Mus musculus: one gene and its partner. The protein of the gene in region 2 interacts with the protein of the main gene of each other region in a pairwise test. Links are inferred from orthologs where the notes say so. Each region holds a gene or a part of one and is shown on either strand. Other genes may lie near its edges. The genes, in order: Zxdc and Pogz.

Region 1 (6,518 bases), on a different chromosome or scaffold from region 2:
ACAGCCCATCTGTGGGAACTCACTGCCAGGTCACTTAGCAGCCCCATACATACCTGTACTCCCAGGCTTCCCTCTGAGGAGGTAGATAGAGTAGGAGAAGGAAGAAGTTTGGATGCTGAGAAATCTGGATAATTCTGGCCTGGTCACACCTACATATTGTACACCACTTGGAGGTATAGATGAAACTTCAGAAGGCCAATGCAAACCTAGATGTCGGAGACTTAAGGGTAGAGCTTTTCCAGTTTCTTCAGAGAGCTTAGAGACAGGCAAGATCCATCTGGGAGAGAACCATGAAGGAAAGAGGTGGGACTGGGAGTAGAAGGCTGTGAAGGGCTTGCAGGGTTCAAATAATGGGGGACAGATGGCAAAGGGTAACCTGTGGAGCAGGGTGTAAAAGGGTTCTAGAGAAAAAAAAGATGCAGATGAGAGTTTTGAGGGTAGAAACTCGGGCTTGTGTATGGAAAGGAGCTGAAAATCATGTTCCTCCCTCCTAGTTTGACCCAGTGGGGGAACAACATGTTACTGTGGAAGAGAGAAAGGATTCTGTAGAGATTGGCACAGTAAAAGGAGTGGGAGGCCTGTCCTGAAGGAGCACAACACAGTGTGCAAGTCAGCATACAGAGATCACCCCAAGACTAAGGGACTATAGTGTGAAGAGACCATAGGAAAGATGCCACCACAGGCAGAAAGAGCATGCACCTGGGTATGACTATTTCACCTGTCCCTTGACGACTAGTGTTGTCTTGGGCAAGTGGCCTTATCCCCAGCTTCACTTCTGTTGTCATGAGGTGGAACAGTAGTACTCAGAAGGCCCTTAAGGCAGTGGAAGGATGGGGTGCCAGAGCAAAGGGTGCTCAGTTTGGGGGTAATACGAGCTGTAACTGAGTACACACTTGAGAAAGCAAAACCAGTCTTTCCTGATTGGCTAATGGGGGCCTGCTAGTCTCCTCATCTCCAGATGCTGTCTGCTTTGAGATCTCTGTTTGGCCCGAGGGTAAGCCGGGAACAGAGATAAGGGTAAGCCCCCACCCCCATGAGCTTGAAGCACTCAGGCATCTGTGTGGAATTTAGGACATTGTAGAAGGAAAGGAGCTGTTGGGACCAGGCACGTTTTTTGAGTATTGAAATAATAAACATAGGGGAGGCAGACAACAGAAGATTCCAGACTCAACTGAACCTTGGACTAGGCTCAAAGTGAGTGAGATGGAGGGGCCATTGCTCCTGCTTCCTGCTTACCAGTGTGTAATAATTCTTGATGTTGTCTCCCCAGGATGACCCCTCAGGTGAAGGAGGCTTACCACTGGGCCTCAGCCCACAGCGCTCTGCCTTCCACCCCTACTTCACCGTGGATCTGCCTGTCTACGTCCTCCAGGTCTGGATGTCTACAGTTCTTGCTCTTCTCGTAGAACTCATCCCAGGTTTCCCATGTCAGGAGGTTGTAGCATGGTTTAGAAGCTGCCACAGACCTGCCCTGGAGGCCCATTGGGTTGATGGTCACTCTAGCCACTTTGTAATTTTTTTAAAAGGTAGTCAGGGTCACAGCTTCAAATAAGGCTTGCTTGACACTACAGTGTCTTCTTGTGGACCAGATAAAACATAGTATGCCTGGGACTACTGCACTCTCTGGTTCTAAATTCTCCACGAATGAGCTACACCTACATAAGTTCAGTAGCTAAGTGAGGGAGTAGGTAAACAGAGAGTAGGTAGTCACCAATGCAGATCTAGGTGGGAATGAAAGTCATTTTTCAGACTGCAGCCTACCTCAGGGATGTCTGTACCACTGTTTTAAGCCCTCAGAGGACTTCCTAAAGAAAGGAAATCTGAACCAGATGTCATAGACATAGTTGCACCCATTAACCCAGATCAAGGCTGGAGAACTGTGAATTTGAGGCCACTTTGGCCACATAGCAAGGACCTGTCTCTAAAAACTGAAAGGAAAAGGGAGAAAAAAATATAGGGTGGCGGGAAGAGAGCAAGAGGCTGTGAGGGAGGCAGGGAAGATACAGACTACCAGTGACCTGCAACCTGCGCACTGCGGACTGGATTCCAGCAGGAGAGTGATGGCTATGCAGCCGTGGCCATCTCCCTGGGCAGCCTGCCCACTGCATGCTGGGTACAAGAAAGAATGAGCCATTTTTTTAACAGAAGAGTACATGGGTGTTTGAATATATATGGAGCCATCAGTAGGCCTTTAGAAAAGTATCTGGGAAAAATATCACTGTTTTAGTTCTTTTTATTTCTTTACTTCTTTTTCTTCCTTCCTTTCTTTCTTCCTTCCTTCCTTTCTTCCTTTTTTTAAGATGGAGTCCCCCTTTGTAGCCTACACTGGCTGGCCTGGAACTCACAGAGATCTGCCTGACTCTGCCTTCCTTGTACTGGGATCAAAAGCTTATGCCACCATTATCTGTCACATTGTTCTTTGAAGAACATAAGGTGTGGGCCACATCTCTGCTGAGCCTTCCTCTTCTCTTCTTGCCCTACCCTCTACTTCTCTGCTTGGTTTTACAGGAGGTGCTTCCAGCACCTGGAGGTTTTGCTGGACTGGAGACTGCACAGGTACCAGGAAGTACTATCAACCTGCGGGACCTTGAGTGACAGCAGTCTTGAGCCAATGAAGACTGAATTCCAGGCTGTGCTTCAAGACCTCAGCTGCTGTGGGTGGGCAGAGACTCATTTCACTTCCTCAGCACTCCAGCCTGATTCTTTGAGACTTTGGGGTACACATATTGAAAGTACTTTGATTCTGTTCCAGCAAGAGCCAGTTTGGGCTATACTCTTTGAAACTGCCTCCACAGGTTGCCCTCTGTGATAGGCACCCTGCCCATGCCGTGTGTGTGTGTGTGTGTGTGTGTGTGTGTGTGTGTACACGTGCGTGCACGCACGCACATGCATTCCAGCCCTTCCCAGGTCCCCTTGGGTCTGACGTGGGTAGCACCTTTTACATTAAAAGATCCTTGCAGGAAGTGGGTAGAGCATGGCTCCCTCCTCAGGTACTTCTCTATACTGAGTTGTAGTGTATTAGGATTTGTCTGACACATTCTGAGAGCTTATATAACAGCTTCTCACCTGTGGGAATGGTTTTGGTGGGTGTATTGCTTTCTCTACACTGTATGCTGTAGTGAAGCCAAAGTCAGGTTGAGCTCTGGCAAAACATCTAGTCTGAAAGGTGATTGGCTGGCCTGCCGCCTGCCAGTAGCCTGCTAATAGAACCTCTTCCTAAATTGACAGTGTGCTCATAGTTTGTGAATGAAGAGTTCGGGCTTTTAAAGTCATCTTTCTAAATTCTGTTTCTGGAATTCATGGTAAGTAGTAACTTGTCAGCAGTCTCTACAGTGGAGTTCTGAATGCTTTATGTTATGTGTAGGGCTGGAACAATAGGCTTGTTTTATGATTGAGGTTGGAGATAAGCATATTATGTGGCCTTGTGTGTTTTCACAGAATGATTTGGTCTTCCCCGTGGAGACGGTTGGTTGCCTTGCACATATTTGTTAGTCAAGACTGGATACAGGGTCACTCAGCAATGCTTTGGGCTTTTGATGTGTGTGCTTATTCAGATACTGTTTTGATTCTGTCCCATCTGAGTTGCTTTGTTTCTTGGATTTGGGGAGAGCTCTGAAACTGGGCATGAGTTTTCTCTGGATGCTACCTGGGTGCTGCTCCCTACAAAAGGATTATAAATCCTACTTGAGAAGACTCCTTTCCACATGTCTCTCCTGCATCACAGGCCAAAGTTTAGGGGTTGAACTTGCCTAGCTGTAATCAGCGCCCCCATAGACACTCAGTAGGCAGCCTGGTACCACTGTCGCCTGCCTCCAGAGCCCACCCCACAGAGAAGTTGCTCCAGCAGCTCCCACAGCCTCCAGCGTGTGTCTGCAAGTGACAGGATGGGCTGTTGTGCTCTGAGCTCTGGAGCTTCCTGCTGCCATAGGCCCAGTCCTTAGTGCAAATGAATAAAAGTGTTCGAATGTTATGTGCAAAAGCTTTTGCGCTGCTTTCATTCAAGGTACTATGCGTGGTATTGAGACTCTTCCCACTGCTTCCCAGCTGGCTACTTGCTCGTTTGTCTCCAAGAGCCAGCACCATCCTGCCGTCCTCAGGGACAGGTTTGAGACTTCTCCACGAGCAGCTGTTTGTGATGACAACCGGCACAGTGCTCTATCCCTCAAGCACATGCTTTGGATGAAATGACAAAAGGGGCTCCAAGAGACTCCCTTCAGCAGGCCGTTCAGACTCCCAAGAGACATGGTTTTATTTCCTGTAAGGAGGCTGACAGGAAAGTATGAGATGGAGTTAGGAACCCCTCAGGCTCACAGTCCCTGTCTGCACTTCCTGCTGACTTCTTCCCGAGCCCACAGCCAGCTCTGCTGCTAAGTGAAGAAGAAGAGCATCTCCTCCTTGTCCTTGTTGATCAGCGTCTGTTCACGCACCTCCTTCACTTTGATGACTGGTGGATGGGAACGGCTTATCAATTTCCGGCCTCTCTGCAGGAGAAATAAACATGGTGAGCCTGTACTAGCCACGTACGTGCCGTGCTCCCCATGTCCCCTGCCATAAGGTGCTTGAAGAGGCCAGCAAATCTAACCATGCAAACCAGCCACTCAAGGGCCATACTGACTAAAGGGACCTAGAATGTAGACCAGCCCAGCAGGTACCGTGCAGGCTCCATGGAGCATACCTTTTGAGGGACAAGAGCTAAAGCATTTCTGAGCTCAAGGCTTCCATGGGAGACCCTGCAGTGTGACAGGTTGGCCTCTAAAAGTCAGTGATCACTCTATAAAAGCCCAATCCCATACTTTTCAACTCTCTCTTGAACAGAGTTAAGCTGTCTGTGCTGTATCCAATAGACCTGGACTGATGGTCCTAATTAGTCCAAGTTCTTCCATGCCTTTGTCATATACACTGTGTTGGACTAAATTATGAATGTGAGACTTGCTGCCAACTCCCCTCATCCCCCACAGAACTTAGTTGGCTCTTACTTTTGTTCTTGGATTTGCTTGGGAAGGTCCTCTGAAAGTTGCTCTCTGAAGAGGCTCCTCTGCCCTGCCATCCTTCTCATGGCAGTGTGTGTTCTCCCTCGCCCCCTCTACCCCTCAACCCCTTCCCTTAATGAAGTTCCTCTCCAGGAAAGAAAAGCCCTTCTACTAAGAAGGCCCTGTTACATTTAGACCTCCATATATTGAACTATTTCTGTGTAATGTTCTCCCTGTCATCTGAGTCTTGATAATTGCCTGGAAGTCTCTCTCCTAATGAGCTACATCTTCTGAAGGGAACTGTGTGGCAGCTTTCTTTCTGAACTAAGCACTAGGATGTTTAGTAGTATCTTATTATTAATAGTGTTCATCTTTCCCAAATAATGGCATGGGCAACCATGTTTCATAGATGCCAGCCAGCTCCTGCTTCTCAAGAGGCTATGCTTGGCTCCAGATATGCTTCCAGGACACATCTAGAAGGCATAAGGCTGCCACAGTCCATTTTTCTGTGGGGTAAGGGCTTGAGGTCCAGAAGGCACATGCCTAGCAACAGGCAGTTTGCTTGGCCCCAGGTCTGTCTGAGGGTTGGACAGAGAGAGCAACAGGACCTTGAGAGAGACTGGATGTTGGTTTGAGTTCTGTGGCAAGGGTGCAGTACATCTAGGAGGTTGATCCTGGTGAGGAGGACAGCCCCTATGACAGGAACACTAGAAGTGCCTGGCTTTGGAGAGACTTCTCCACTCCAGTTTGGCACTGCATGCAACTGTCTGTTTCTTCAGCAGAGTGATTTGCCTGCAGAGAGGCCTTGGAGCTCGGGCTGGAGAGCCTGAAAGGTACACCCTAGAGTGGCCCTGGCACCACCCCTTACCTTCTTCTTTATTTTAGCCTGGGCCCTGGCTCGAGCCCGTTGCAGACGTTCCTCCTGCAGCTGCTTCTGCATCATGGCCTTCTCTTCACGAAGCCTGGGGACAAGAGGTGAGCTTAGGAAAACCAGAGCCTGGCAGGGATCTCTGCTTTTCCCACTTGGGCTCCAAATTAGCCCATGCCCTCTCACATGTGAAAATGTCCCCTCTGCCATGCCTGTCCTGAGCAAGTGGCTTGGGAATAAGGCAGGCAGGACTATGTAAATGCTATGCTGGCCATGAGGGTGACCTAAGGTTCAGACCACAGGCCCAAGAAAGCATGTGTTCCTGGATCCACATCTATGCCTTTAACTCTTATGCCCACAGACCTACACCCTAGCATCCAACTAGGACATTAGCCTTAGAGCATGTGCCAGGACCCCAGAAGAGGTCGCCCCAACCTTAGGAGAGACAAACAGATTTGGCAGATGGTTGTGTCCCAAGGCCGCACATATAAATGGATGTCCAGGTAGAGAGCTTCTACCCTGTGGCACCAACAGGTAGTGGCCTCAACCTCATGATACAGAGTCCTGACCCTGTGTCTGGGCAGGAGAGTCATAATGGTGGACACTGACTAAATCACCCTGCACACAGCCAAGCCTGCAGCCACAGAAGATTGGGCACAGTGACTGACCTCATGCGCCGC
Region 2 (6,525 bases):
AAAGAACCATTCAAGATGAAAAAGCCTATCACTGAGAACTGGTATCTCACACCCTGACAAAGTGAAGGCCAAGACACACAGGTTCTCAGTCAGTCCTTGGAGTGCATGGTCAGTGGCACACGCCTGCTCACCTAGATCACCTTAGCACCGCAGACTGCTATCTATTCCTGGACAGTCTTCTTGATTTTTAAAGCACACAGAAACATACATGGTGTCAAGTAAACAACAGAACAACTTGGACTCTCATTCTGTCCCCTCCACCTGCTAGGTCTGCCTTTAATTCCTGGTTGTTGGTTCATTTCCACAGACATCTTTTCACTGGCTATGTATATGAACAACCACAGAGCAAAGCTTTCTTTGGTTTCTTTCTAGTGGTGTTAGGGATACAAGCAAAAAGCTGAGGCCTTCCTTATGTTAGGCAAGCACCCGATCACCAAGACTTTCCAGCCATACCCCTTTAAAGACTACATACAAAACATAGCACTCCCCTTTGTATTCTTGCTTTCCCCCCCTTTTCCAGGAGGTGGAATGTGGGGTAGGGGGCTTAATACATCTTTATATACAGCTGTTTTTGAGTCTGCAGCCTGACAAAGGCAGTGCTTGTTTCAGGAGCCACTCTTACTCCCTTGTTATCTCACCTAACCCATCTCTGCATTGTAAATATATATAATTTTAGCAATGCGTCTTGACTCCATCTCTTTTCTTTACTTCAAAAGCCAACAACCACTAATATCGCCTACCTGATTAAAGCCTTTGGGTAATCTTTCCCCTCTGCTCTAGCTTTGACTTAGTTTACTTAGTGCTGGCAGTGTAAAATCTTAAACCTATCACTGCAGAACTTGAGTCCTTTTCCTAGCCTAGGAGAACACCCATAATCTATCTGCACATAGCTTCCAACATGTACCTTGTACTCTACCGTTTGCTCTGAACACCCCTTACCTCCCTACACACCGGCTCTGTCCTATTTTATTCCCCACCATTATTCATCCTTCAGACCTGAAACAGCACTTCTTTCTGGATGTCCCTTCAGTTCCCAGAATAGATAGATGCTTCTCTGTATCGTCCCCTATTAACAAAGCCCTCATTTTTGTGTGTGTGCGTGCGTGTATTTTCCTTTAACACTAAACCTCTAACATCTAACCTAGTGTGTAGGAAGAAACAAGAACTGAATGATGTTTGCTAACACAATATTATCTTCTCTACCAACATTATTTATCTATCTCAACCCTGTCCCTAGGATCCAAACCTCAAATAAGAATACAGGACTGCTTGTGCCTGATACCTGGTGCCTCATGTAGTGTTGCTGGAAGGCATTGCCATTTTTGAAGACTTTTAGGCAATACGGGCAAAGCAAATGCCGAGTATCTTCATGGATCATCCGAAAATGGACATCTACTTCAGAGTAGAGGGAGGAGCGATACTGACACACCTGAGTTATGCAAGAAAGAAAATAAGGGCAAGGTGAACAACTGGAGCCATAAAGAGAGATAACAACAAAGATTGATGCAGGAATATTCTTCAATGCACAGGTGTTACTGTCTTGGATTCGCACTGGAGATCTATGTGGATGGTAAGCTTAGCTGTGATGTCTGGGAACAACCCATACTCTCTAAGGCAGAAAAGCATCCTCTATCCTGAGAGGGAGCTCGGGAGACAGCTCTTGGTATGCCAGGAGTCCCCTGTCTGGGTGTTATCTTCTACAAAGTCCTACCTATAGGAGCTGCACTATTACTCTTCCCATATCTCTTCAGAGCACATAAATGGAAGCTGTACAGTGGGTATTTAGAAATATCCACTAGTGGATTCTTTACAGTTTGAAAAAGGCATTCATTACCTGACAAACATAAGGCATCTCTCCAGGCTTGTGGGTGTCCTTCATATGCTGGAGGAACAAGGGCTCGCTTTCAAAGGCCCACTCACAGATCTTGCACTTGGCTGGAAGAAGAAAAATCATAGAGACATAGACTTGGATGTAAGATCCCCCCCCCCCCCCATCTCTCTCAGGTTTTTTGAGACAGGGTTTCTCTGTGTAGCCCTGGTTGTCCTGGAACTCACTCTGTAGACCAGGCTGGCCTTGAACTCAGAAATCCACCTGCCTCTGTTACCCAAGTGCAAGATCATATCTCTTAAGATCACATCTGTACACTGGTTCTGCTCTAACATTTGTGTTGCTGATGACAACTAATATCCCTCTCTCTAACTCAGCCTTTTAACAAAGCTCTAGTCTAGGAGACTGTGAACTATTCGCATTTTAAACCAGACATTCCCTCTTTGCTCCTAACTTGAAATCACATTTGCCTTCTGTCCATTTCCTATCTCTTATTTCTTTAAGACATACCCACTGTGACCTAGAACTGTCACACTGTCACCTCTGTTATGATAGACAAGAACATGGTAGAAACCCTTACAACTGACTACAAAATACAACATGAGTTTAAGCCTATACCCAGGAACAAAGATTTTCATTTATAAATAATTCATAAATATCTACTGACTGTCCATGAAGTACAAGGAAGAATTTGTTCTGAAATGGCTGACAAACACTAAGAGATGTTTGCTTTTTTGTTTTTGTGACAGGGTCTTACCTCCCAACCCTGTATGGCCTGGAACGCTTATGTATAATAGATAAACTTGCAACTCAGATTTCTATCATTCTGCCCCTGCCTCCCAAGTGCTGGTGTTAATGGTGTATATAATGTCACTTCTCTTTCAGTATGAACAGATTCAACATAATTATGCTCAGAAATTTGTCAAGCTTATTTAAAAGGATACAATTCTAAATTTTTGGTAAAATTTTTAATTGCTTCATATTTTGAATTATAAAGTGTGGCTAGCAAAAGAGCTATATTTGTCTGTGTTTTCCTTTGTCCACTGGTCTTTCAAGTTTCTGCAAATATAAACATAGACTTAAAGTTTTAAGTATTTATTAGTCAATGGCCCACCCTCTGAATCTTTCTAACTCCTTCCTATATTTAAAACTAAAAGTTTATCACCATGTTTTGTGAAACTTGGCCACAAAATCTTTTCCCCTATTGTAATGATCTTACCCATAATAACTATCATATAAGGCATGTTTGTAATATTATCTTATTTTGAGATAGGATCTTACTATGTAGGCCAGGCTTGCCTTGAACTAAGTGGCCTTCCTACTTCTGCCTTCAATGAGCCTGTAAATCTAACATATAATATTGTCTTACTCTACATACTATAATTATATAAGCTCCTATACTTAAGATAATTTGCATTTTTAACAAAATTGACAATCCTTTGAGAAATATTCTGAATAGGGAGAGACGGATCAGTGGTTAAAGTATTTACTGCTTTTGCAAAGAACTGGAGCTCAGTTCCCAGCACCCACACTGGGCAGCTCACAAGCATCTTTAACTCCAGCTCCAGAACCTGGAAGCAGGGCAGAGGTGGTGCATGCCTTTAATGGCAGCATGGGGGGTGGGAGTGGTGAATAGACTGGGAGGCAGAGGCAGGCAGATCTTTTGAGTTCTAGCCCAGCCTGATCTACAGAGTGAGTTCCTGAACAGCCAGAGCTACACAGAAAAGCTCTGTCTCAAAAACCAAACCAAACCAAACCAAACCAACCAACCAACCAACCAACCAACCAACCAACCAACCAACCAAGAAAGAACTCTGAACACTGGGCTCACATCTCAAAACGTCAACTCAATAGAAGCTTATGTTTCACTCAGCACTCAGGAGACAAGAGGCAAGCAGATCTCTGTGAGTTTGAGGCCAGCCTGGTCTACAAAGTGAGTCCAGAATAGCTAGGGCTACATACACAGAGAAACCCTGTGTCTAAAACAAACAACAAATGTATGTTTTAAGCAGATGACTTCTGTTATTCTAAGTGTTTGCTGTTGTTCCTACTTTGTAAAATCTGTAACTAACATTCTAGCTCACCACCTACTATTTCACGGACAACACCAATTTAATAGCAAAGTACTTTAAAATTATGCTTGTTAAAAAATAGAGAAAAGTACTCCTCTATCACTATTATCTGGGTATAATGAGCTCTCTGCTAGTGCCATTTAGTAAGCAAAGAAAACATAGATCCCATCCCTCTGCTGGAGTTTGGGTTTTCAAACTTACTAGTAGATTCATAGGGACTATGAACATTTTCCAAGTGGCACTGGAGCTGGAAAGGGGTGGAGAACTGGCGGTAACAGTGCTGGCAGATGGTGTGACCATCCACCTCACCATTCTGTTGATCAAGTTCTACGTGGTGCTTCATGTGGTTCATGAATCTGTAGCACAGCACAAAGAGAAAGTACAGAAAACTAAGTCAGCAGTCGATGAAAGATATGATACAGTTATGAACAAATACGATTTGCTCCCCAACTACAACTTCCTCCATTTGGGAGAGTCTTTTTCTGAGCCCAGAAAGATGGTCCTTTACAAATTCTGTGTATTTCTGTGTGTCTGCGTATAGGGTCATTCATACAAGTGCTGAAGGAGGTCGGAGCTGAAGATACAGACAATTGTGAGCCACCTTATGTGGATGCTGGGACTTGAACTCAGGTTCTCTATAAGAACAGAATGCACTTTTAATTTCTGTGCCCTTTCTCCAGCTCCATATTAATAGATACTTCTTCTTAAAATAATTTACTTTTACTTTACATGCATTGAAGTTTTGGTTACGTATACATCTATACTTACATCTCCATCCATCCATATCTATATATGTGAGGTGTCAGGTCTGGGAGTTACAGACAGTTCTGAGCTGCCATGTGGGTGCTGGGAACTGAACCTAGGTGCTCTGGAAGAATAGTCAGTGCTCTTAACTGTTGAGCCATCTGTCCAGCCCCCAGATAACAAGTTCTTAAAACTAAAAGAATATTCTGTTCAAGGAGACTGTGTTCCTTACTCAAAGTTAAAGGTATCTTTTATTACCATAATGAAATAATTCAACAGTATTGCCCACTAAAAAGTCTAACAAGACTGTCTAAGTCAGGTGGTAGTGGTAAATGCCTTTAGTTCTAGCATTCAGGAGAAGACAGATCTCTTGAGTTCGAGGCCAGCCTGGTCTACAGAGTGAGTTTCAGGAGAGCCAGTGTTATACACAGAAAACCCATTTCAAAAAAACCATAAAAGAAGAAAGACTGCATCATAGTTAATATTTCCCAAAAGAAAACCTTAACTATGTAATAAGAACACCTGTGTACTTCTGTGCAGGCTGTTGTTTCAAGCTTACCGAATGTTGTTCTTTAGCCTCTTAGTACAATGAGGGCATCGGAAAGACGTGGCAACCTTAGGGAAGCTCGTGAGCTGGGCTGCTTTGCCCCCATCCCGTCCATAGTAGAAATCATCAACCAGCATAATAAGCTTGGTCTGGACAGCATCTCCAGCATTCTCATTTGGCTCTGGTACTTTGGTAGGTGGTGAGAGAGCAGGAATTGGTGTAGAGGAGGGTGTGGAAGTAACAGGGGCTGTCTTCTCAGGGGACGAGGGCTTTGCTGCCGATGGGACACTGGGCTCTGCATCGAGGGACTTGCCTTTCTTTTGGTACTCAACCATTTCAGGGCAGCAGTACTGTAAAAGAAACGACATCATCATTCCATTTACCAGGAACTAGGATGAGCTAATAAATCCATCATGTCACCTACAGTCCCTTGGAATGCTTTGTTAATGTAGGTAATAAAGGACATGTTTTTGGACACTGGGATCTTATTTAAGCTGTCTAGGCTAGGCCACTGGTTCACAAAATCCTTCTGCCTCAGCCTACTGGGTAGCCGGGACTGTAGGCATTTGCCGGCACACTGAGCTGGGTTTAAGGTGGTCTTCGTCCAGCTTTCATCTCGTTTCCTTCAGTAGCCCCAGAGTTTACACTTCTCTTTTCCATGTCCACACAGCCCCAAGCCTTGCACCTCTCACTGCTCCTCTCCCGCCGTCTTGAGCCTTGAACTAGCATCACTTGACTCTGAGCTTTCTAGAGAAAGAAGGTCCAACTGCTCCATTTGGACTGATACCAGAAAACTGAATGACGACAAATAAAGCAGGGACAAGGTAACAGGTTTTCATACTCCCAGTGATGGAGTTAAAATGGAGTTGAGGATATAAACGTTCCTTGAGGTCTTATCTAACAAACTTGCTGTCCTATGAGATCAGATCGATCACGTAAGACAGTAAGAGCTCAATCACCTATTGGCGGTCTTTATATGTATTTTATCAGTCCCAGTTTTCATAGCCCTGTTCTACAACAAAACACAAGAAAGAACAGCTTTTACAAAAGTTTCCAAGCCAGTTTAAGCATCTGCTTTTCAAGATTCCAGTATTAAAAGATGTAGAAGAGGCCACTTAAGCTGGATCTTTATCATGGGTGGTATCACTTACACACATGTGACCTCTCAGAGCTTCAGTAACACGGAACTGGGCATTACACCGTGGACATATTTTCCGTCCACCGTCCTGGAGGTCAAACACTGGGATGGAAGAGGTCACTGGAAGAAGGGAAAAGAATTGTTAAGATTAGTAAAGCATACGGGGATGAGACTGCACAGTCCCTGAGAGCCAAGA

What was found.
Region 1: the proteins of Pogz (region 2) and Zxdc interact in binary tests that used the Homo sapiens proteins (3 or more experiments, as listed by UniProt). The link is inferred for Mus musculus from reciprocal best matches to the Homo sapiens genes POGZ and ZXDC.

What each region holds. Positions count from the first base shown.
Region 1 is NC_000072.6:90,399,512-90,406,029, forward strand, and holds the end of Zxdc (zinc finger protein ZXDC), read left to right. Parts: intron 1-1,270; coding exon 1,271-1,372; intron 1,373-2,508; coding exon 2,509-2,595; 3' UTR 2,596-3,975; downstream 3,976-6,518. Other genes in the region: Cfap100 (cilia- and flagella-associated protein 100), read right to left, coding at 4,368-4,481, 5,839-5,932, 6,507-6,518. UniProt on the Homo sapiens protein: Cooperates with CIITA to promote transcription of MHC class I and MHC class II genes.
Region 2 is NC_000069.6:94,870,004-94,876,528, reverse strand, and holds part of Pogz (pogo transposable element with ZNF domain), read right to left. Parts: intron 6,450-6,525; coding exon 6,343-6,449; intron 5,542-6,342; coding exon 5,204-5,541; intron 4,257-5,203; coding exon 4,102-4,256; intron 1,936-4,101; coding exon 1,835-1,935; intron 1,430-1,834; coding exon 1,283-1,429; intron 1-1,282. UniProt on the Homo sapiens protein: Plays a role in mitotic cell cycle progression and is involved in kinetochore assembly and mitotic sister chromatid cohesion.